Linked DNA regions of Arabidopsis thaliana. The main gene of each other region encodes a partner of the protein of the gene in region 3 in a complex. Each region holds a gene or a part of one and is shown on either strand. Other genes may lie near its edges.

What was found. The genes of interacting proteins can lie anywhere in the genome.
Region 1: SIP3 (region 3) and KT1 share a complex: the UniProt entries of both Arabidopsis thaliana proteins name them as parts of the K(+)-channel calcium-sensing kinase/phosphatase complex.
Region 2: SIP3 (region 3) and HAI2 share a complex: the UniProt entries of both Arabidopsis thaliana proteins name them as parts of the K(+)-channel calcium-sensing kinase/phosphatase complex.

The regions. Positions count from the first base shown.
Region 1 is NC_003071.7:11,329,876-11,340,353, reverse strand, and holds KT1 (K+ transporter 1), read left to right. Parts: upstream 1-3,615; 5' UTR 3,616-3,909; coding exon 3,910-4,082; intron 4,083-4,935; exon of another isoform or gene 4,936-5,147; coding exon 5,148-5,504; intron 5,505-5,573; coding exon 5,574-5,631; intron 5,632-5,739; coding exon 5,740-6,057; intron 6,058-6,138; coding exon 6,139-6,384; intron 6,385-6,473; coding exon 6,474-6,572; intron 6,573-6,654; coding exon 6,655-6,687; intron 6,688-6,810; coding exon 6,811-6,996; intron 6,997-7,098; coding exon 7,099-7,293; intron 7,294-7,387; coding exon 7,388-7,463; intron 7,464-7,556; coding exon 7,557-8,389; 3' UTR 8,390-8,504; downstream 8,505-10,478. Other genes in the region: SPX2 (SPX domain-containing protein 2 (SPX2)), read right to left, coding at 1-96, 576-702, 1,132-1,422; KCS11 (3-ketoacyl-CoA synthase 11), read right to left, coding at 8,731-10,260. UniProt on the Arabidopsis thaliana protein: Highly selective inward-rectifying potassium channel that mediate potassium uptake by plant roots in response to low K(+) conditions, by a calcium-, CBL-, and CIPK-dependent pathway. Positively regulated by phosphorylation by CIPK23.
Region 2 is NC_003070.9:2,278,772-2,286,572, reverse strand, and holds HAI2 (highly ABA-induced PP2C protein 2), read left to right. Parts: upstream 1-3,744; 5' UTR 3,745-3,916; coding exon 3,917-4,420; intron 4,421-4,513; coding exon 4,514-4,825; intron 4,826-4,909; coding exon 4,910-5,422; 3' UTR 5,423-5,827; downstream 5,828-7,801. Other genes in the region: AT1G07440 (NAD(P)-binding Rossmann-fold superfamily protein), read left to right, coding at 1-137; SMO2-1 (sterol 4-alpha-methyl-oxidase 2-1), read right to left, coding at 6,540-6,612, 6,716-6,796, 6,895-7,107, 7,196-7,315, 7,456-7,601. UniProt on the Arabidopsis thaliana protein: Involved in the negative regulation of the K(+) potassium channel AKT1 by its dephosphorylation, antagonistically to CIPK proteins (e.g. CIPK23). Functions as a positive regulator of abscisic acid-mediated cell signaling during seedling growth.
Region 3 is NC_003075.7:15,064,074-15,071,652, reverse strand, and holds SIP3 (SOS3-interacting protein 3), read right to left. Parts: upstream 4,626-7,579; 5' UTR 4,254-4,625; coding exon 2,928-4,253; 3' UTR 2,470-2,927; downstream 1-2,469. Other genes in the region: AT4G30970 (uncharacterized protein), read left to right, coding at 586-730, 2,343-2,387. UniProt on the Arabidopsis thaliana protein: CIPK serine-threonine protein kinases interact with CBL proteins. Binding of a CBL protein to the regulatory NAF domain of CIPK protein lead to the activation of the kinase in a calcium-dependent manner.

The DNA.
Region 1 (10,478 bases), on a different chromosome or scaffold from region 3:
TTGTGAAGAAAGGTTCTTGCAAAACCTTTTGGATAAATGGTAAACGGATTAAAGCACCGGTTCTTTTGTCATACTTTTTGAGAATCTTTGCCAATCCTGTAAACCAATAGAACACAATTCTACACATTTAGCGAATAAGAATAAAGGCATAAACCTCAAGTTATTTATAAGAAAAAAGTATAAAGAAAGCATCTGCGATGAGTGGCCAGTTAAACAAATTACAGCATATTCCTTCATGTGGGCACATTTCTATTTAACAAGTAACACAAAGATCGTGGAGAATATGACTCTTAACATAGACGTAATGTTAATACTAACTCAAGTTCCCTACTAATCAATCTTTCACAAAACTTCTAAAAATATTGCCCATTGACACGGTTTCACTTACTAGGAAATGCTAAAAACTAGAGCTTGACCTTGTAAACGAGTTTTAACATCTAAAAACTATCAATTGTCCAACATGTGAGCTTGTTCTGTTTACTCAACGTCGGCTTTCGGGCTACGAATGATTAGAACATATGAGAAAAGAACGAAAAACAATAACCATGGAGATGACATGAGAAAGAAAAGTTTACCTGTATAGTTAAGAGCACTATAATTCATCAACAAAACCATTTCTCCATGAAAATCAACAATCTCTTTCTTTATATTTATCATCTCTTCATTAGAATTCTTCGCTTTCGCCACTTGGTCCTTCAATTCCTACGATACCAATTCCCACCAAGAAATAGAGTTGAATACACTATGTAAACTAAAAATGCTCCACGCAATAATTCTAGCCTTAGGCTACAAAATAAGTAACATGGACCTAAATTTTTAACTAACTATGCTCATTTCTCATTCAACTACGTTTCCAAACGAATCGAAACTACTAATTCAGATGATTTACGAGGAATCCAAGCTCCGGTCATTCCGGTGACGGACTTCACCGGAAATTTGGCCGGAGTCATTCGTCATAATAGTAATTCCAACAACATCTACTTATGAAAAATCTTAGAATCCTATGAATTGGAATCAACAATCAGTAAATGCAATCAAAACTAACAAATTGATCCCAAATCATCAAACCTAACAATTCTACATCAAAACCTAAGTTTTTGCATCGTTCCACATAAATTTTTGAGGATTTACCTTCAATCTAATGATATACTCTTCCTCTTGCTCAACGAAGAAGGAATTGAATTTCTCAAGCTCATCTTCAAGAAGACTAATGAAATCAAGCTCTTCCTTGGTCATACCAACCGTTGGATCTGTGTCGACAGAATTGGAATCGGATCTCGAACGTTTATTTGGACGATTCTCGACGCTTCGTGGCTCCATAAGCTTGAGCTTCTTCTTGAGTTCTTTGTATGAGAGGAATTTGTCGCGCCATTCAGGTAAAGTTTCTTCGATCTGGTTGCTTAGGCTCTTGCCGAACTTCATGGTTAGCTGAGAATAAGGAAGAACAATCAAAAGTGAAAATTGGTTACAGGATTGATGGTGGTTTGATAATATTAATATTAGTGTTTTATTTTATTAAATGAAGAATATTCGTGGTTTTGTTTTTGGAATATCCAATTTTAAATTTTTTTTGTTGAAGCATATCTTTTTTAGAAATAATATTTATTCTTTGTTTATTTTACGTATTGGATAATTTACAAAGGCACGAGTTTTGGGATACGAAGGAATTGGAGTTAATTGATCATAACTGTTTGATCACCGGTCAAAAGAGTTGGGCTTAGTACATGATGATAGCCCGATTGGATGAATGTATATGGGCCAGTGTGGCCCATGTAGTTACAATTGTGAGTGGAAACAAAGGAGGTAAAGTGGAGACGCTAATGGTCGACGAAAAAGGACCCAAAAAAGAGTCAAAGACCCATACAATGATACAAAAGGAAAAAAGGAATGAAGTTTTATATGCAACACACTTGTAAATTAGAGAAATACCAGCTCATAAAAAAAAAGAGAGAAATACTCTAAAATACTATTAAACTAAATTTGTGTTTCATATATATTTGGTCCAACTGGTCAGAGCGCGAGTCATGTAATTAATAATTATCTTAATTTAATGTTTTCTATAAAAAAAGGTCTTAGAACCTGTTACAATAAAATAAAATATAAACTCTTGCTCTATAATTAACATGTTTTCAATTTATCTAGCATAAATATTTTCCAAACAAGAAAAAATGATAAAGTGTGTTATATAGTGAAAAGTTAAAACTTGAAAAAACAAAGAAACATAATCCATTTTAGAACAACTAAACATAAATTAAATCAATTAAGTTTTTAGAATATTATATATATATATATATATATATATATATATATACTAGTTGTATTTGTCACAATCAGGACTTAGGGAACCCCTCCAGTTTCTATTTGGAAATACCAACTTGTCCCATATTGAGAATACATTCCTATATAAGATAGGAATTTGGAAACACCCGAACAGTTATGGGATGGAACAAGAAGTGTGCTAACCTCTAACTGAAATATTAGTAAATAAAGAAAATTCTAAAAGTAAAAGAAAATTGGTTGTTACGCATCTAACATTCTCTATAGGAAATAGCCATCTCTATGATGATTTCATACTTTTGCCAGTTCCTTGGCTTATCTAGGATTAGCTCCATCATTTGGCAATCCGATTTACGAATTCTTCCTATCAAACTCACAACACTCTTTTCACTAGAGCAATATTGAAGTAGATCAAATATATTTAAAAGGTCATCTTCCTCCCCTAGCGACATAGCAATCAAACCTTTATGATTTATCTATAGCAGTAGACATCTTGTAAATTAAAACTTTAACTATATGAAATTTGAGAAATCCAGAACTTGAAGGAAAAAATAGCAACAAATATTTGTAGTAATAAGACCACTTTAATGAGGTAACTGTTATAAATGTGATGATTATCCATCACATTACTTCTCTTTCAAGAAAATGGATAGTTATCCAAAGTTCATTATTATCCCTCATCATTTTACATTATCTACTTAAATCCTAAGTAGCTTCCTCCCCAAACAATGGTAGTTATCATATCCTAAAGGCTAAATGTCTAGCTTATCTTAAATTCCCTATATATACGATGATGGACAAGAAGTGAGTAAGATAGACGAGGAAAAGGTGAACAAAAGGGCTTACGATCTAGGGATGATGAACCAAAATATTTTTCTTTTATGCCCAAACAAAGAAAAACTATTTTTTTACGATTTGCTTTTCCTTTACTCGTTAAAATAAAAGTATGACAGTTTAACATTTATTGCTCTTTATGCAAGTATGCAACCAATCATACCATAAGTTGCAATCAATATCTCACTTCAAATCTCCATACCACAAATGAGCCCAAGAATGTTATATGATCGATCACCTAAAATATTTTAAAACAAGTTTTAAGTCGTGTCCTACATCTATATGTGTTTTTTTTTTCCTTTAGTTAGAAGTCAAACAAACAATAAAATAGTAAGTATAATGATTGAAAAACTTGAGATCATGCTCTGATGTATAAATTTTTGGTCAACTCTTCCTCTTCGGTCTAATTTTTCTTCTTCTGTTAATACAATTATTTATGAGCAAGAATGATATTTTATTTTATCTTGAAATGGAGAAGCCACCATTAATGCTACAGTAAGGGTTAAGACGTGAAAGTGGGGCCAACCACTGTGTTGCCGAGAGAAAACTTAATTCCTTGAAAGTGAAGGGATCCAAAGTCAGAAATGACACACACACCCGTAATAAAGCCAACTAGCCAAGAGTTTTTTTTTGTTATAAAGAAAAAAAAAAGGTCTCACTCATCAACAACGAGTGAAAAAAAAATGTGAAACCAATAAAGCCAAGAGTTAAGCTGCTTATTTTGCCTCTTTTGCCGAAACCAAAAGAACAAAAAAAAGGAACCATCAAAGAGGAAGCCAAGAAAAAAAAACGTCGGTGATGAGAGGAGGGGCTTTGTTATGCGGACAAGTCCAAGATGAGATTGAACAGCTTTCGAGAGAGAGTAGTCATTTTAGTCTTTCTACTGGAATTTTACCTTCACTTGGTGCAAGAAGTAATCGACGAGTTAAGCTTAGGAGATTCGTTGTATCTCCTTATGATCACAAATACAGGTTTCACTCTTTTGTTTTTTGTTTTTCTTGTTTCTCTTCCATGTCAAGCTAAGAAGACGATTACCATTTTAACTTGATATATATTTCAACTATATAACTTCTGATTCTTTCATTTATGAGGATCGGAAACAAGAAATTAACTTTACTTTAGGATCATAGTTAACAAATTTGTATTTTATTAAATGAATACTGAATATAAAAAAAAATTGTATTCTTTTTAATGGTTGGTGATCAACTTTTGTAATTTATTGTGGGTAAATACTATTAAGTATATGCACTAGATTAACTAACCTTATTTTCTATGAGTTAGGTGAATAACTATTTGGTTAGGTTACAAGTTTACCCTCAAAATAGTAAGAGTTTCATGTTGGTTTTAAACAAATAACATGTTATTTTATCTTATTGGACTATTTTATTTGAAAAATGTTTTAATTTCTTCATAAAATAAAAAAATTACGTGCAAATAAAAAATGCTAGTTGGTCAAACAACACAAAAATGTTGGTTTCCACGTTTTTTTACCTCAACAACAATTGATTTTTAATAATAATATTTTCTTAGGTTAATTTGAAAATTTTAACTACTTGACGACTAAAGCTCCCTTTTTACTCAACATTTGGAATATTCAAATCCTAGTTCCCTAATATTCAAAAAAGAAGATCTATAAATGTGAAGGCTATTGTAGAATATTCAAGGCTCCCATTATTACTCTCGTTGGCTAATTAGCTTAAAAGCCGCCTTTGCTTTTGGCTTTTGCTTTTTGGGGATAATTTATAGTAATTGAAAAAGAGAATGTGGAACATTCAAGGCACTCATTACTTGATTTCAACGACTGATATCAAATCTGATATATTACTATAACCAAAAGTAGAAAAAACTGTACTTGGTTGTTGTATCCTCAATAGCGTCATCAAATAGTAACATACTATTGAAACACAAAGTACTGATAAATTAAATATGAGACTTACTTGGATATATTCATGCAGTAACTTAAGAGATATGTTCAACTACATGTAGAAAATGTACTAGATTATTGAATATGACTGAAATGGAAATGTTGACTACAGGATATGGGAGGCTTTCCTAGTGGTTCTTGTGGTTTACACAGCTTGGGTTTCGCCTTTCGAGTTTGGGTTCTTGAGAAAGCCAAGGCCACCACTATCTATCACCGATAACATTGTGAACGCATTCTTCGCCATCGATATCATCATGACATTCTTTGTTGGTTACCTCGATAAATCGACTTACCTCATTGTTGATGACCGTAAACAGATTGCATTTAAGTACTTGCGTTCTTGGTTCCTTCTTGATCTTGTTTCAACCATTCCCTCAGAGGCTGCTATGAGAATCTCATCTCAGTCTTATGGATTGTTTAACATGCTTCGTCTTTGGCGTCTTCGCAGAGTCGGTGCCTTGTTTGCCAGGTTAGAATCACTAAACTTTTCTTCTTTCTTTCATTATTTTCTTTAATCTTGACATTCTCTGTTTAACAGACTAGAGAAAGACCGCAACTTCAACTACTTTTGGGTCCGATGCGCAAAACTCGTTTGTGTAAGAACATCAAAATGTTTTGCTTCTTATAATGTTATCTTTATTCAAACTACTACACTCTCGATGTAGTAATAGTGTAGATACTAACCAACCAGAGCATTTTTGCAGGTCACTCTTTTTGCGGTTCATTGTGCTGCATGTTTCTATTACCTTATCGCAGCGCGCAATTCTAACCCCGCAAAGACCTGGATTGGTGCAAATGTAGCAAACTTCCTAGAGGAAAGCTTGTGGATGAGATATGTGACTTCCATGTATTGGTCCATCACTACTCTAACCACTGTTGGTTATGGTGATCTGCATCCTGTGAACACAAAGGAGATGATATTTGATATCTTCTATATGCTCTTCAACCTCGGATTAACCGCTTACTTGATTGGTAACATGACAAATTTGGTAGTCCATGGAACAAGTCGGACTAGAAATTTTGTAAGTTAGCATCTTCATATCCATCTTCAATCTTTGAAGCATATCCATCGCGGTTTATAATATTTTGTTCTCATTTTGCAGAGAGATACAATCCAAGCTGCTTCAAATTTTGCTCATAGAAACCATTTACCACCTCGTCTGCAAGATCAAATGCTTGCACATTTATGTTTGAAATACCGGACTGACTCTGAGGGTCTGCAACAGCAAGAAACTCTTGATGCACTCCCAAAGGCCATTAGATCGAGTATATCACACTTTCTTTTCTACTCCCTCATGGATAAAGTCTACCTGTTTCGAGGAGTATCCAATGACCTGCTTTTTCAACTGGTATACTAATGACAATGCATGTGAAAACATCATTCATATCCCATTTTCAACACACAAATGAAGCTACCACTACTTTGTACATTTTACAGGTCTCAGAAATGAAAGCTGAGTATTTCCCACCAAAAGAAGATGTTATCTTGCAGAACGAAGCGCCAACAGACTTCTACATCCTTGTGAACGGAACCGCGGTAATAAAACATTACAAAGTTCTCTACAGATTTGTTGAGTTGACATAAAACTTACTTCTCTTACATATCCGTTATGATGCAGGACTTGGTGGATGTAGATACTGGAACAGAAAGCGTAAGTCGCGTCACTTGATGGATGTTTCTTATTTTATGTTTATCCCTTTTGTCTCCATACCTGTGATCTTGGAGTTATGATGTAACTAAGCATTCACAAAGAGAAGTTTATGGAGAATTTCAGATTGTGAGAGAGGTTAAAGCTGGAGACATTATAGGGGAGATAGGGGTGTTATGCTACAGACCACAACTGTTTACTGTGAGGACCAAACGTTTGTGCCAACTGTTGCGTATGAACCGTACAACTTTCTTGAATATTATTCAGGCCAATGTTGGTGATGGTACCATAATCATGAATAATCTACTTCAGGTGAATAAACAGATCCTTCTGAGGTTTTCAAATATTGAAAACAGAAAAGTATCTATGAACTATTACTTACTTGTTCTCACTCTCTTTCTTTGTGGAGAGCAGCATTTGAAAGAAATGAATGATCCGGTGATGACGAATGTTCTGCTGGAGATAGAAAACATGCTTGCACGGGGTAAAATGGATCTTCCTCTCAATTTATGCTTTGCTGCAATAAGAGAAGACGATTTACTTTTACATCAGTTACTAAAGAGAGGACTTGATCCAAATGAATCGGATAACAATGGCAGAACACCTCTGGTCAGTCAAGTTCACATTCTTGTTCTGTTATTTTCTTCTCATCCAAGCTCTTGGAGACTATAACTTATGATCTCTTTTTTTTTTCTGGAAACAGCATATAGCAGCATCAAAAGGAACTCTAAATTGTGTTCTTCTTCTGTTGGAGTACCACGCAGACCCCAATTGCAGAGGTACTTGCTTGTTCAGTTCTGGTACTTCCCTTTTGATTTCAGGATTTCTTCTGAAGTATTGAGCTTCTTGGTTTCTTCGAAATGTAAACGCAGACGCGGAAGGGAGTGTACCACTGTGGGAAGCAATGGTGGAAGGGCATGAGAAAGTTGTAAAGGTACTGTTAGAACATGGCAGTACCATAGACGCAGGGGATGTGGGTCATTTTGCTTGCACGGCGGCTGAGCAAGGAAACTTGAAACTACTAAAAGAAATTGTTCTTCATGGTGGAGACGTTACTCGTCCTAGAGCCACAGGCACCTCTGCGCTCCATACCGCTGTATGCGAAGAGAACATTGAGATGGTAAAGTATCTTCTGGAGCAAGGTGCGGATGTTAACAAGCAGGATATGCATGGTTGGACGCCGAGGGATCTTGCTGAGCAACAAGGGCATGAGGATATTAAAGCCTTATTCCGAGAAAAGTTACATGAGAGGAGAGTGCATATCGAGACAAGTTCTTCGGTACCTATACTCAAAACCGGGATCCGGTTCCTCGGAAGATTCACTAGTGAACCCAACATCCGTCCTGCATCAAGAGAAGTGTCTTTCAGGATTCGAGAAACAAGAGCAAGACGTAAAACTAACAACTTCGATAACTCGTTGTTTGGTATATTAGCAAATCAAAGCGTACCCAAGAACGGGCTAGCTACGGTAGATGAAGGCAGAACTGGAAACCCGGTGAGAGTGACGATTAGTTGTGCAGAGAAAGATGACATAGCCGGGAAGCTGGTACTGCTTCCTGGGAGTTTCAAGGAGTTGCTAGAATTGGGTTCCAACAAGTTTGGTATTGTTGCTACCAAAGTTATGAACAAAGACAACAATGCAGAGATTGATGATGTAGATGTTATAAGAGATGGAGATCATCTCATCTTTGCAACTGATTCTTAACAACCATAGAAACTCTCTGCCACATTCTATCACCTATTGTTATTAATGACAAGTTGATAACTCTTGTTTTTAACAACTTTGTCAAAAAATGAAAGAGACAAAGAATGCTTAAAGGAAATATATATGCAGACACAACAACCAAAAACACAAGCTGGACCGACCATTGACGGTCTGCTACTGACTACAACAAGTTTTTCCGCAAAAAAGAAGAAAAATATTGTTAACCAGTTTGGTGTATCTGATTATCAAATCAAGAAAAAGGTAAATTCACTGGGAAGACACAAAATATCAAAAGCTGAAAACTCAAAAACCTCTTCTGAAAATTTGCCACTAAGTGGTTTCTAGATTGTGGAGACCTTGGGGACTTCAACTGGGAACTCATGAATTTCATCCATCCATGGGTTCTTCTCTTTCTTAGGGTTTACCGACCTTACCGCTCTCCAAACCGAGCTGTTGCACTTGAACCCCGAACCAAAAGCTATCTGCCAAATTCTATCACCTTTCTTGATCCTTCCTTTGGCCTCACTATATGCTAATTCATACCACAAAGAAGAACTGGACGTGTTACCAAAACGGTAGAGTGTCATCCTCGAGGGCTCCATATGCCACTCTGTGAGTTTCAAGTTCTTCTCCAATTCATCAAGAACAGCTCTCCCTCCTGCGTGGATGCAGAAATGCTCAAACGCTAGTTTGAAGTCTGGGATGTAAGGCTTGATCTTCATCTTGAAGAGTTTTCTTCCCACTAACGTTGCAAAGAACAGAAGCTGTTCAGATGTCGGTAAAACCAGTGGTCCTAACGTCGTAATATTTGTCTTTAGAGCATCACCCGCAACAGCCATAAGTTCTTTCGACAAGGTAACACCAATCTTACTTGCGGAATCCTCTTCTTGAGTTATGCAACCAAAACACTTATCATCAGCTCCCTTGTGAGTCCTAACCGTATCAACAAGCTCATATTTCGATCTTCTTCTGTCCCATCTTTTGTTCGAAAGAAGAATCGCTGCACCTCCCATTCTAAACAGACAATTAGAAACAAGCTTCGACCGGTCATTCCCGAAATACCAGTTCAACGTAATGTTCTCCATACTAATCACCATTGCATAAGTGTTGGGAATAGAGTGAAGAAGATGTTTAGCAAGATCAATAGAAATCAAACCAGCACTGCAACCCATTCCTCCCAAGTTGTAACTAAGTATATTCCCGCGGAGCTTATAGTGATTAACAACCATAGCAGATAACGAAGGTGTCGGGTTAAACAAACTACAGTTAACAATCAAGATCCCAATATCCTTCGGGTTCACATTCGTCTTCGCAAGAAGCTCATCAATAGCTCCAAACATAACAGTCTCGGCCTCTTTTCGAGCTTCTTTCATACACGGGTTAGGCGGAACATTAAGTACAGCCTCGGGTAAGTAAGTCGATTCCCCGAGCCCCGAACGTTGTAGAATCTTACGCTGGAACTCAAGATTCTCCTCTGTGAAAGAGCCAGTGAGTTTAGAACGATCCATAAAGATCTTTTTAGTGCATTTTCGTGACTCATCGGGTTTAAAGCACGAGAAGTTCACCAAGTAGACAGGACGTGGTCGAGTCATGAAGTAAATAGTCATTAAGAAAACAAGCAGCATAGAACAAACAACCACTGAGATAAGATTGTACTGAAGATGCTCCCAGAGGCTACGAAGATCGGTGACAGAGAAAGTTGAAATCTGTGCAGCGATTACAAGTACTAATGGGGAGAGGAAAAGGTACATTCCATGAGTGATAAGGTAATGGTAACCAAGCTTCACATATTTAAGCTTCACTGATTTTTTGAAATCAGGTAGATTACGATCTGATGATTCGATTAACGGTTTCTTTTGCTCTACATCCATAGCTTCCTTCTTCTCTGCTTTGACAGATCAAAATTCAATTACTAGATTATAATCAAGATTTTAAAAATGGAAAGAGAGCGAATTCAATATGCATTTACAAGACCTAGATTCGATTTCACTATCATGTTGTTTTTGAAGCATTTAGATTAATGAGGAAAAGAAACAGAAACAGAGACTAACCTTACTTGCAGAACTCTGAATGCTTACGGAGAAACCGA
Region 2 (7,801 bases), on a different chromosome or scaffold from region 3:
GTTTCGGGGAGCCTGAAGAAGTGTCCTCGCTTGTGGCTTTTCTATGTATGCCTGCAGCTTCTTATATAACTGGTCAAACCATTTGTGTCGATGGAGGTCTCACTGTCAATGGCTTCTCCTATCAGCCACAAGGTTAAAATCCAATATCCAAAAACAAACACATTTTCAACTTCATTACTTTGAACATTGTCATCTTGGGCTAAGCCCGGTTTGGAAGTATGGATTCTGGCCGTAACACTTTAGAAAATAAAAGGAAACTTCAAATATTCTGATTTAAATTTTGCTTGGATTTTTCAGTTCCGTTGCTCTCAAACTTCAAAGTATGTGTGTCATCCTAATTATAATAATAGTGATTAAATAAGTGTAAAATAAAAAGTAGTATTTTGTCCTCCCATCCAAAATAATTAGGGCTTTATCCTGATCCAGAACATCGTCTGTCCGTTTCCATAAAATACATGCATATTGCTCATATTCAATCTCTGTAGTCAATTTTGACATGCACCTCATGTTTATTTTTTTGGACGCAAGTTGAACCTATTACAAAATTGATGATTTCATCTCATGAGTAATTTACATTAATTTGAGGCCGATATAATGAAATTACAATTTTATTTGCAAAATATATATTCTTAAGAAAATAAATCCCAAAAATCAAAATCTTATAACTATGTGACTTTCATTAATAGCCTGTGTTTTCAAGTAAAGAAACTAAATTAACAAAGCAAAAAATAAAATAAAATAAAAACTGTTTTTCATAAATCGTACGTACTATCAAAGTATTAATCTTGTACGTTGTAAGTTGTAACATAAACGATGATATATAGAATCCGCACTTGAAATACTAATTCCAACATTAAACACTCCATATTATATTCAAAATATGTAATATATTGTCCAAAAGCAAAAACAACTTCTTGACCTTCCACCATTACGACTAGTTGTCACGATGCAATGAATGTAAGTAAATTGGTTATTTGTTTTTTTCTTAACTTTTTAACTTTATTTCAAATTCCAATTTAAGTTCAAAAGTTCAAAGAACCTAAAATTAAACGAGAAGTGTTGCAGCAAAAAAAAAAAACAGAAAGTAAATGACCACGTAAGTACACATGGATGTATCGTAGGCCTAGGTCGAGGTGCATGCCAATTGCCACCATGCACACTAAACTTTGGATATTTCTACTAAAATAATACCAACTTTATCAAATCCATATATTAATTGTAAGGTCATGATAACTCATACGCTATATTCCAAAAACAGAAACTGAATGATTTTGTCACCTACCAAATGCATGATTCTAGCACCTTCAGTATTGGACTATTGGGAGTCAATTCAATTACAGTGATTTTGGTTGGATCGGTGGGTACACGAACGAGAGGGCCCATTTAATCCTCTCCATTTCCATTTTAATGAGATTTGATCAGTAACACTCATCACAAATATCTTATTTTAGTTTCTGATGAGCGATGATGGTCTTATTCACACAATGCTATTTACTTTTTCCCAAACTCATTTTTTTCCTTATTGCTAGATCATGAGCAAAACTATTGATTCATGATTGTAGTAGCACTTAAGTGTTGCGAAACCAAATTAAAGATGAAAAAAAAATTGTAGGTGGTACATCAATTAATGTTTGCTTTTAATAGGGTGGATGTAATTAATGAAGTACTGATTTTCCATGAAGAAGACAAGCCAAATGAGAGCTTGAGATCTTGAAAACAACCAATAGAAGAGTACTGCCTATACATGACATGAGCATGATAAAATGTTTTTGTTTAAAGTACGGAATTTGATGATCAAATTTTTTGTTGTTGATCAAAACGTAGAAACACAAACTATATATCGATCGCCCCCGTGAGTAGTACGTATTATTATTTCAAAAGTAAATGATTTTGCAGACTTGCAGTTATTCATTTATAAGCGAAACGTTATCTTATGCAATGTTTACATTTGCAACACCAATTAGCTTCTTTTTTTTACAGTTGAGACTTGAGAGACACATTAAAGCTTGTCATCGTTCACTGGAGAGAGTAGAGTGTGTGAGAGACAAAGTGACCTAACTTCACTGCAACAGTAGTCGGTAAATATCCAAACATAAGAGCTACGATGGTAACACGTGTACGGTGGAGGAAAAGAGAGCCCTCAGATTCCGTTATAAAGGAGGTGAGACCCACTCGCCGGAATGGAAACAAAGGAGAAACGTAGAGGTAAATGGTTGGGCCACTGCTTCACCAAAAAGCCTTTTCTATCTTCTTTTTATTTTTGTTTTGTGGCTTTTAACGGTTAACAATATAACTCCTCATTCCAAGACAATTACGTGTCCTCTGTACGGCTTTTTCATTTTTCACTTTCTACTTCATAGTGACTTTAGGGAGGCCTCAATTTTTAATTACTCGAGGATTATTTAGGTAATCATGAATGTAACTACAGCTTTACAGGTAATTAAACAGATGAGATTTAGTTGCGTGAAATCTAGCTGATCTGGTGCTTATATCAAATCCAATTGATGGAGACAGATTTGGACTTAAATTCATGATTGTATTTGTAATCTTATATACGTTATAGTTAAATTTCTTTCTCTCCGTACGTACTCTAACTATAATTATTATTAAATGCTGAACGCAATGCTTTTGAGTGCTGAGAATCTTTTTGGTCTGATTCAAAAATGATGTATTAGTACTCTGAATTCAATCTTAACTTCTGCAACGAATCAATGTATTAATTTATAGGAGATCCGGATAAAATTATGGATATATGCACGCTACTTCTTTCATTTTTAATTAGGTAAATGGTTATAACTTTATTTTATATATCAATTAAATGATTTTGGTATGAGATTACTAGTACACTTTCTTTGCAAATGTTTTAAACACGACAAGACAAAAATATTACAAGCATATTTTGGTAAAAAATATCATAAGCTTTCATATCAAAATCATTAGTTATGATGTTAGATTTTTTTTTTTTTTTTTTAACACTACAAAAAGCTCTGGTCTTAATATGTTAGAAATTTTAGTCCAAACCAGCCTACAGAGGATTTAGCTAAACAATTCCCAAGCACCTTTTAAGTGTTAACCGAAATAACGTAATATGATGTTAAAGGTTACATAAAAACAAAACTAAAGAATTTTCATATGAAAAGTTAACGTACGTGTCTTAGTGTAACCTAATTTTAGTTCACAGTATATAAATTCTTTAATGAGATGATCGCAAAATCGCTGTATACAATTTCGTACTTAATTCGTTAGTCTTGAAAAGTTGACCTAATTTAGATCAAATTAAGGTTAACTACAATAAAAATTTAACTAACGTAATGGGATTCTTTAAAATTAAAAAATCGTTGATTAGATAGATATTTTATCTTTAAGGGAGACACAGAGACAATTTGGACAAAAAAGGTCTTCCTGAGAAAGAAGTGGACCACAATCGTGGCGCGAAAGGAACTTCCTCCTCCCCTCTGTTGCCTTGTCATTGGGCCACGTATATCTCCACCTGATCGTGATGCTTACGTGGTCCATTTCTAGATACTATAGTGACCAGATCAACGGTCAAGATTGATTCTAATTTAGACGAAAGACCAACACGTCACGTCGCTAGAGTAAAAGATTTTTTGAAGGCGGAGGGAGAAAAATCAAAAGTTAAAAGTAATTTGAAAACGAGGAAGAGAAAAAGGAATTTTAAAATGTTTAATGAAGCGGTAGGCCGCATGGGTATATAAATGGGCACGCTTTGTAACGTGTAACGATGATATTTATTCAACTGCGTGGTATAACCAAAAAAAAAAGAAACACTATTCGACTCTTTTTTTGTTTTTGTAATAAACATAAAATAAATTTTGGAGAGAGATATTTCGTCGGAAATTAATTGACGTTCAAAAGATTCGTTACCGGAATATTTAGTAGAGGCGGCGATCGAGTTATGGCGGATATTTGTTATGAAGACGAGACGTCGGCTTGTGAATCAAGACCGTTGTGGTCTAGCCGGAAGTGGAGGATCGGTGTCCAGCGATTCAGGATGTCTCCGTCGGAGATGAATCCCACGGCGTCGACGACGGAGGAGGAGGATAAATCTGAAGGGATTTATAATAAGCGAAATAAACAAGAAGAGTACGATTTTATGAACTGTGCATCGTCGTCACCTTCTCAAAGCTCTCCTGAAGAAGAGAGTGTATCACTTGAAGACAGTGACGTCTCTATCTCCGATGGAAATTCATCGGTTAATGATGTTGCAGTTATTCCGTCGAAGAAGACGGTTAAAGAGACGGATCTGAGGCCGAGATACGGCGTCGCATCGGTGTGCGGGAGAAGAAGAGATATGGAAGATGCGGTTGCGTTACATCCGTCTTTTGTACGGAAACAAACGGAGTTTTCTCGAACAAGATGGCACTATTTTGGTGTTTACGACGGCCATGGCTGTTCTCACGTACGACGCCGTTTTACCCTAATTTGAAAATTTCAAAATTATTGATATATTTACGGTTTTGCCTGATTGAAATATACGATGTCGTTTTTGTAGGTTGCGGCTAGGTGTAAAGAGAGACTTCACGAGTTAGTGCAAGAAGAAGCGTTGTCGGATAAGAAAGAAGAATGGAAGAAGATGATGGAGCGTAGCTTCACACGTATGGACAAAGAGGTTGTTCGTTGGGGTGAAACTGTGATGAGTGCTAATTGTAGGTGTGAGCTTCAAACGCCGGACTGTGACGCTGTTGGATCCACCGCCGTTGTCTCCGTCATTACGCCGGAGAAGATCATTGTTGCGAATTGCGGTGACTCAAGAGCAGTTCTTTGTAGGAATGGTAAAGCAGTACCTCTTTCTACAGATCATAAGGTCAGTCTTTATCTCTTTCTAACTCTTTCTTGATTTGTTTGATTTAGTGGATTTTAACTCTTGTTTACGTTTGAAAATGAACAGCCTGATCGTCCGGATGAGCTGGATCGAATCCAAGAAGCAGGAGGACGAGTGATATACTGGGACGGTGCAAGAGTCTTAGGCGTTTTAGCCATGTCACGAGCCATAGGAGACAATTATTTAAAACCGTACGTCACTTCGGAGCCGGAAGTGACGGTTACGGATCGGACTGAGGAAGATGAGTTTCTGATTCTAGCGACGGACGGGCTATGGGACGTAGTGACGAACGAGGCAGCGTGTACGATGGTGCGCATGTGTCTCAACAGAAAAAGTGGTCGTGGAAGACGGCGAGGAGAAACACAGACTCCGGGGAGGAGGAGTGAAGAAGAAGGGAAAGAAGAAGAGGAGAAGGTGGTGGGGTCAAGAAAGAACGGGAAGAGAGGAGAGATCACGGACAAAGCATGTACGGAGGCGTCAGTATTGCTGACGAAGCTGGCGTTGGCAAAACACAGTAGTGACAACGTAAGCGTCGTCGTTATTGATCTCAGAAGAAGAAGAAAGAGACACGTTGCTTGACACTAATCTCCTCATCACTCTTACTCCACCGTTTTTTGTGTTGTTTAAAATGATTCTTTTACCTTGGGACGAAGGTAGCTCAAATCTTTGAACCCAAAAGAGAGAAAAAAAAAGCATTAGGTCTAAAAAAAAAACCCCGGTTTACTGAAAGCGGTTAAACCGGGTATGGTTGGGTCTTTTTTGTTCTGAACCTTTTTTTCTTGCCTTTTTTCGGTGTGTAATGAACAAACAGAAAAGGAAGCCGGAATGTGTCACTGTCTAGGTGGAATCAGTTCAGAATTCAATTAATAAAAAAGTATGTATATGTTTTCTTGGCTTTTAAAGCAAACCAATTAACTCGGATACGCGTGGTGATCTTTGAGAACATCACCGGGAATTTTCAGTTTGTTGATAAAGATTTTAAAATCTCTATAAACGAGTGGGCCTTTTTGGTGTTGGAAGAAATTCAAAATCTCACGGAAACGAAAAGAGAGAGAAGATAATTGGGAAGAGGACGGAGTACGTGTCGAAGAGGTAAAAGTAGAAACCCTACACCACGTAAAGAGGATGTGACACACCGGAACGATGCATATGTTAATATGCGCATTCGTACGTGTCGGTGTCGGTGTCGGGTAATTGATTGAGATCTGAATATGAACCTAATCAGACTGTTTTATCTAAACATGATCACTGGTCTGATGGAAAATCAAAATTAACTTACCTGTCATGTAATGTAAGAATTTTATTAAGAAGGAAAATCGAACCAACACTCCCAAAGCATTTGGGCCGAGAATTTTGGGGTATTATATTTTCATCTGAATCCTATAAGGCTATAACCTACCCAAAAATTTGGTAGCGCAACATCTAAACTTGATACAGAAAAATGAGACAAGGATATATTAAGCTTCAAATAGATGACCCATACAAAATGTTTTAATTGCCCAACCTAAACACATACTGAGTTGAAGTACCATATGTTTTTTCAAATAGGCCACACGAGCAGCAATTCTAGTCAGACATAATAAACTAAGACACATGAGCGTTGCAGCAACCTGAAAGCAAAATGTTAAAGAAAAGGAGAGGTTGCAGAATAAGACCTCTCTAAGACAAATGTACTCTGCAATCCAAAGTGGCAATTTCACGTTTGTTTCATGTCACCGTTTTCTTTAAGGGTCTTCAGTCTTCTGTACCCCTTGTCAGTACCAAAGATCCTGAAGAACACCAGAGACGAATTATACACTGGATATTAATATCAGGACAACTAAAGATCTGTTCTGGAAAGCGAAGAGATATTAAACAAGTTCAGAGGTTCACCAGTCCATATACACAAAAGTTGAAGAGTAGTTTCCGGACTTTGTGTATAGCAGTCGGTGATGGTAGTCATGGAAGTCAGCACTGTAACCAAATCACAAAAATAATAATAGTAAAATCTATTAATACAAATGTCTTATGGTTTTAAGTTTCAAAAGAGCTGGCTAGATGTGTGATCTTACCCTCCATACAGAGGAAGAAAATTTGAGAGGCTCCATGGGAAATGATAACCACAATGTGCCTCAACTGTCTCCAGCACTCTCAACACCATCCATAACCAGAGAGTAATTAGGTGAGGGCCAGTAAGAGCTGGACCGACTATGGTAGCAAAACCCAGAAATAGAATCTCAGCGGGGTGAGCATATTCTGATGTCAAACCAAATGGTGTGGCATATCTGTGATATCATGAAATGGTTGCTTTTCAGAAACTCACAGTTTCAAGTATCAAGACTGAAAAAAAAAATGGTGAACATTGAAACTTACTCATGATGCACACTATGCACGTTCTTGTACAGCCATTTTGAATGCAAGATCCGATGACCCCAATAGAAGACAAAATCCTCAATGATAAAGTAGAATAATATCTGGGCAGACACTTCTTTCCTGCAGGACCATCACCAAAGAGGGTCTTATATACCTGATCAAACATGAGCTCAGGTTCTTTCATGATGCTCAACACTGACATCTTTTGATTATGTTTTTCTTTCTTTTTATTGCCAAATGGACGAGTTTAAGATCAATACCAGGACGGCAGAGGAAAACTGCTTCGCATTCCCATGGCTCGGAAGACAGGGTAGGAGGCCAACATCAGGGGCAAGTTTACGGAGAAATGATAAAGCAACAGGCGAGTAATACATTTTCCTTGGGCTGCAGGTGTGTTATTTTTTGTCTGCATAGGGACAAAAGAAAAGTATGTGTTGACCATAAAGGGTAAGAGAAGCATAGAAAAGGGTCATATTCACAATTATTAGTAATCGCTGAAATGGACATCAGCCTGTCATAAGAAAACACTTTTCACGTGAGACTGAATTCTTGGGGATCAACCTCTAGACTATCATATTCAAACCATCACACAAAGCTATGATTGCA
Region 3 (7,579 bases):
GATTAAGATATTTAATTTCATGAGACGGAGAAAGTAACAACCAATTTGTCAACCTTCTAATAACGATAGAATATAACATAATTGATACTGGAGAAAGTAAGATATGAACAAATCGTGTATTTATATATCTATATAAAAAAGAGAATCGATAAGCTTTGTGGTTATGTTTGATAACCCGTCATATAAGAAATAAAGTATCATACTTTTTGGATCTAATCTATCATATATGGACATTGATTATTCTTGTTTTTAGCGAATTGCTATCACTAAACTAAATCATATCTGTTAGTCCCACAGATTCCACATGCATATGTTTAACAGTAGCCCAACCAATATGTAACAATGAGAATAAACTTAAAGAGATTCAACCACTAAGAAACTAAATAAATTATCCTCTCGATTATTTCCTTATAATTGTTCCCAAAGATATTTGTTGGAACTTGGAACTTTAATAAATTAACAATTTGAGAATGTGTTACACCGAAGCTCAATGACAGAAGACAAAACTCCACTTGTTTTTTTAATCTGTATTATAAGATCTGATCTAACTCTTTTAGTCTTTCTTTTCCACCATTTTGGCCTTAGCAACATGCAACTTCAATTGTGTCAAACTGTCAATCCGCCAGTAACCAACAATATATTGACACTCACATGTGACATATCAGAGCTCATTAATCTACACGACGAAGGCTTTAATGGTTTTGATCCAAGCATGAGACCAAAACATATGGTATTAGTGCAAGCAAACTGAAAATGTTAAGAGTTGTAAATGGACGATTAGAAGTTTGGAACGTTACATTACTATTCTCTCACGTAACTCACGCAAGTGTTATAAAAAACAAAATTAGTTAAAGTTTGATAAATCCCACTTTCTCTTGATCGTAATCACTATTCAACTTTTGTTAATTTCATTTGTTTTGGCATTGCTTGTTTCTTCTAATTTACTTATTCTACATTTGTTCCGCACCAAATTCATCTAGTATAATCTCACTATTCAACAGTAACTATATTTCTTCTGTTTGTTTCATATTATCTGTTTGTTATGCATCGAATTCATTTGTTCAACAGCCACTATTTGAATTCTATGGATCCTTCGGATTCCAAGAATAACGGATAAGAACCCACATGGAGAACGCTTCAACGGTCTTCACATGTCATAGCTCTTCTAGTTCTGTGGACAGAAGCAAAGCCAATATATCTTTGGGTAATCAATATTCATCATGTCTATTGTCTCGTCTTATTAAAGAAAACTAAAAAGTATGAAACATATATAATTAAAACGCATGTGGATCAATCTCACCATATTCGACTTTATAATAATACTGTATGATTTGATTTATCCCTTAAAGATCAGAAAGCAAACCTTAACTTTCGTCCTGAGTAATTCTGAAAGAGAATTCCGACTTGCGATCGATGAACATATGATAAGTGCAATGATTTTTAATGGGATAGATCAATACATTAATGCGTTTCAGTTATAAGTTCTTTGATTTTCCTATTTCTTCAGTATGCCATAATTAAATACCAAAAATAGTTAAAGATTTGTGTAATAAAGCTTTAGAAAGAAACAAATATACACCACATTTTCTATAATTTAGATAAACCACAATCCTTTTTTTAATGAGAGATAAACTACAACTTTTAATCTGTAAAGTTCTATATATATAATCTGGGTGGCCGACAGTTTCATATTTTTGGATGAAGAAAGCAAATTTTGATATTATCTGAAGGGTTTAGCAGAATTCTACACTCGTACAAGATGACTGAAGAAAATTGCAACGAGGAGAGCTATACAAACGGTTGACACACTCTAATTTTGTTCTACATAAATGATAGATCGGCGAAACTCGTACTGATACGTTTTCTTAAAACTGGGGTAGACCTTTGATCGAAACTCACGTTATTTTTCGATGGAAACAAAAGAACCCTTCACAGTTTCAACGTTGTGGCAGTAAAAGATGGTTATTCATTTTTCGTTTTTTATGTTACAGATCATGGGTTGGTGTTTGCATCTCCGTTAATGAATCACATGTTTGATATGATTATACTAAGAATTCTATTAAAAAGAGAGATATATACTAATATAATATTAATCGGGTTCATGAAACATCCATCCCAATCACGTAACTTCTACTTTTGTTTTGCTGCCCACCTCATCTTCCTTTTACTTTTCATATTCTATTCACTCATCTGAATCCATCTACTCCACTATTATTTATAATCAACAAATCAATGAATACTTGTCACGATCATTTTATTCAAAAAAAAAAAAAAACTCTGATCACTAATCATACAATCGTCGTCACATTTGTGCTAATCATATCCCTATTGTTATATGACAGATTTTACTAACTCGACTTACTCCACAAGCCCTCTATCATCGCTAGCGACTGAATTAACTTGATGATTCTACTACTCATCTTACCAATTTAAAACGCATAAGCTAAACGACTCAATAAAGTAAAAACGCAGAATTTTTTTAAGTACTTGTGTTAATACAATAGTCACATGAATCTTGAAGAGTATATACATGATTCAACACGACACTACAAATTGGACCAGCATAAACAAAGATGATGTCCTAATCAATCCAAGGTAAGAAGAGACGTGCAAAAAAAAAAAAAAAGACATTTGATGAGAATGAATGCATAAAAATTGACTCTTTAACATTCTTAAAAGAGTCATGATTATTATTTGTTGATGATGGAATCTTTAACACACCATTCTACACCACACACAACATTCTCTGCTTCGTGACGCAACATATCGGCCACGACTCAAACACACACAAAAGACTTACAACTTTTTGAACGATCCAAACTATGATACCACATTAAGAATCAAAAACAAGAATCACGAATCGAATCTAGAATCCAACAATATATATTACAACATAAAAATTTGAAACACGCAAGAATTCATCAAATTCAAGCAGGTGTAGAGGTCCAGAAAATGTCCTTGAGAGCTGGTCTAAGAGCAGTACTGCAGAAGTTGTTGTACTCAAGCGTATCTCCATGATCTTTCTTCACTTCCACGACAACAAACGACGGAGCCACCGCGAATATCTCCGCTTCCACCGCCAATTTCCCTTTCCGACCATTCTGTTTACCTTCAATCCTTACTCTACTCTCACTCTTCCTCACATCAAACTTATTCCCAACTCTCGCCGCTTCTTCCAAACTCGAAATCACGCTACTCGCTGGCCGAGACGTCGCGAATCTCATCTCTCTTTTCTCCTCTTTCTTCTTCTCCTCAAACAACGGCGACAAATCAAACCCTTCCGATAACGCGATTATATGAAACGCGTTTAACGTCTCCGTCTCTTCCTTCGACTTGTGCACCAAGAAATCAACATCCTCTTCCGTGGTTGTGATTGTGGCAGCCACTGGTTCGTTTCTTGATCTCGTTGCTTGTTTCTTGAACCAAGGCGAATCCATAACCTTCTCAATAGTAATCCTCGTATTCGGATTCGGATCAAGAAGCTTAGTCACAAGCCGTCTAGCATCAGAAGAAAGCCAACCAGGACATTTGAAATCTCCTCTGTAAATCTTCCTATACATATTCACAAGATTATCATCTTGAAACGGCAAATAACCAGCAAGAAGCACAAAAAGTATAACACCACAAGACCACAGATCCGCCTTAGCTCCGTCGTATCCTTTCTTCAATATAACCTCCGGCGCAACATAAGCCGGAGTTCCACAAGTTGTATGAAGAAGTCCGTCTTGTTTCAAATGCTCAGTGAAAGCAGAGAGACCAAAATCAGTCACCTTGAGATTACCTTCTTCATCTAACAAGAGATTCTCCGGTTTCAGATCTCGGTGATAAACACCACGGCTATGACAGAAATCAACGGCTGAGATCAATTGCTGGAAATAAACACGAGCTACGTCTTCACGTAGTCTTCCTTTAGCCACCTTAGCGAATAACTCACCGCCTCGTACAAGCTCCATGGCGAAATAGATCTTGGATTTACTCGCCATGACTTCGTGAAGCTCGACGATGTTTGGATGTTTCACCATCCTCATCACAGAGATCTCTCGTTTGATCTGATCAACCATACCAACTTTCACCACTTTCTCTTTTCCGACGACTTTCATCGCCACGCTTTTTCCGGTTTGTATGTTACGAGCGTGGTACACCTTCGCGAATGTTCCGTGACCTAGAAGACGCCCTAGCTCGTAACGGCCGTGAAGCAGCCCCGTACTACTACCACCGTCAGATCCATTCTCCACCGGTTTTGCTCCGACCATGGTTTTTTACTTTACAACGATGATTAGAGAATTTTGTAAAAAAGTAGAAGAAAAAAAAGATTTACAGTTTTTCGATATCTTCGAAGAATTCGAGAGACGAGAGTTTAGAAAACTGGATCACCCGTCCTCGACGTGTTTCCGGTGGCAATTCCTGCCGCCGACGGATCGGTTAAACCGATCACACAGCTTAGTCTTCACCGGCGATACTCCGACCATCTCTCTGCATTCCCTTACTTAGGATTTTTTTCCCCGAAATTCAAATAGAGATTTCAGAAGTAAATTTTTGAGTAAATAAACGAAACTCTCGTTTAAAGTTAAAAATCTTAATTCTCCTTTTGCCGTCGGATAAGAGCTAGCAAAAGAGTAGTGTTTATATAGATCTTAACGACATTGCAATTACGTAGATACCCTTATTAGGGAGTGATAACTACACCGTTTAACCTCCTTTCGCTGACTGACATGTGTCTTCGGCAATCCCTTGGCGGCTTCGAGTTTGTCAATTATTTGGATAGCGATGACGACACGTGTCTTTTTATGACCGGTCACGATGCGATTTACTATTCTATCCCTCTAGTGTTTCGTATTACGGATAGGGATTAACGGCCTAGTGATTAATTTTTTTAGGGCCTGACGGATTAAAATGCAGCGGGTGCGGTTATGGTTGCGGAAGTTTGCGGAAACTGGCGGTTGCAGTTTCAAGCGTTATCAAACGTTTTGAACGACTGGTTGAACGTTTGATAATGGGTGCGTTTGCGGGAGTTTTATGACTGGTAAACCAGCGGGTGTGATAGTAATTAAACAAAAATAAACCAAAATAAATATAATATATTACTATTAAAAGAAAGAAAAATATAATATATTATTATGATAAATTCATAATATTAGAAAAATTAAATATAATTAAAAATTAAAACCGTAAATAAAACATTAAATTCAAAAATAAATAAATTTTGCAAGAAAAAGCTTAATACTTTATGCATTTGGTACATCACCAAAAATTACATCAAATAGTGTGATAAACTGTAAATAACGTTGAACTCGCGGATTTTCCAGATTGCCTCTATACATATAATAAAGTTTCTTCAAGATATCCAAACGATTTATAACACATCTCCAACTCAAAAAAAAATCAAACTGGTCGTGAATGGATGAACGAATATATGATACTTACTTTTGATTATTGATTTTGATTTTAATTTTTATCCGTTTGGGTGGATGCCATAATTGAGAGAATAGAGTTACAATATATTAATTATTAGAGTTTTCTAATAAGAATAAGATATATAGGGTTTGGGTGGAAAATATAATTATTTTAATTAATTATAAAAATAATTTTTTTTTTAACCTAACCGCTACCGCCCGCAACCGCAAACGCTTGCGGGAAGGAGCTTTTGAAATCTGGCGATTTCGAGCGGTCCAAAGCGATATCTAGCGGTTTATATGATTGGTGCCAATCGCTAACAACCGCTACCACCCGCAAACGCTGCGTTTGCGGGTGGCAGAGGGAGAACCAATCAAGCCCTTAGTTTAACTGACTACTTACCCATTTGCATTGCATTATGCATATGGATAATTGAGGGAAATAGCATAATTATATACAATGAATCAAGTTCTGTATCTACAAAAATTCATAAGGTTTATAAAGAAAATAGTTGTGTCTTAATGTAGGGTCTGATAATTTTCCATAGATTCCATGATTCTTTACTATAATTTGTGTTCAATTGTTTTCATTCGTTGTGGTCCTTGTGGACCATTATGTGAGTGTAGATTCTAGGGTTTTCTACTTCATTTCTTTGTTTTTATACACGAAGATGGTAGATAAACTGTGAAGTTTTTCTTGTTTATTTTGAGGCTATAATTTTTGAAACGGATGTTGTAGCAAGAATATATAAATTAAAAACATTCATAGATATGATAATTATCATGTGGTCCGTAAATAACTAAAGTTTGGTTTGCTGAAGATTCTCTATATTACTACAATCAATCAATTAGCTAATGAGTTTTGAGAAGATTTTTTTTGTTTTTGTTTTAAATCGTTCCATTTTAAGAGGAAATATTAGATATGCTATTTTATTAAGTTGTTATGCCCAACAAATAAGTCGTTCCATATACTTTTCAAAATGTTAATAACATATTACATAAAAAAAAAAAAAAAAAACTGGATTAATCACAAAACTGAAAAAAGTTTTGAATCACAGTTCAACCATTAATTTCAACTATTCAAACCAGGTTAAGATAAAAATTAGTGATATACATTTGAAAATGTCAATTACAAAAAAAAAAGATGAAAAATTGAATTAAATACTTTTGACTTTTGATAGTTGTAGATGTTGATATGAAAATTCAGCTATAAAAACAATTTACACGGTAATTTTGTATATGTGGCATTTATTATTCATTTCTATAGCTATATTTGTTTGATAAAGGTATCTATAAACACTTGTAAATGTTTTTTAACTTAACTTTAGCATTGAAAAGTTAACAAGGAATCATTTTTTCATGATCTCATACTTAAACAGACGAGTGGCGAGAGCATAATACACGTGAAAATGATAATAAAACATAAGTATGATAAAGTGATAAGTAACGGAAATGAAAATCTAGTATAAGTTAACTAGACTACTAGATGACGGTTTATGTACGTTTACCGATATACGTATGTGTTTTGTCTACACTTTCGTATGTTTTGTGTAACTTGTACAAGTCATACGCACACGTGTCTTCCTTCCACTTGATAGTCTCTCTGTTGATAATTAGTTGTTTTATGCGTATGTTTAAATTTAAAAATGGTATTATATTATTTTTTATTTTGTTTACTACTATATATTGATTTCAAATGCAACGCCGTAGATAGTATTAGTCAAACAAACAATTAAATTAAAGTAAACGTTTTGATGTAGTCATACGAAATTGCCAAAAACATTAAAAAAATTTTGGTTTTTGCCTTGAATGACCCAACAGACCAACATGATGCTCTTTCCTCCTCGGCCACCAGAAACGTTTGGGCGGCTCTCAACGTCAGCGATCCCTACCTTTCTTCATGTGTGGACCTTCTCCGATCCTTCTTATATTGTTATACATAAATTTAAATATTATAAACGATATGCCTATGTGATTTAGTGTGATTAGATTTAGGGTTTATAATATAAGTTCTTATAAATATTGAGAAGAGTACTGCATTTCTGTTTTCACCACAAAACTATGTGCGATTAAAACGATGTGCTAGCTGGAGTTCAATGTTTTAATTCACAATTTACGAGACTCCTTTACTGCTTTCTGTTCTGCATTCTCTGTTGCTTCTCGTTAATAATTCTTCTGAGATCATG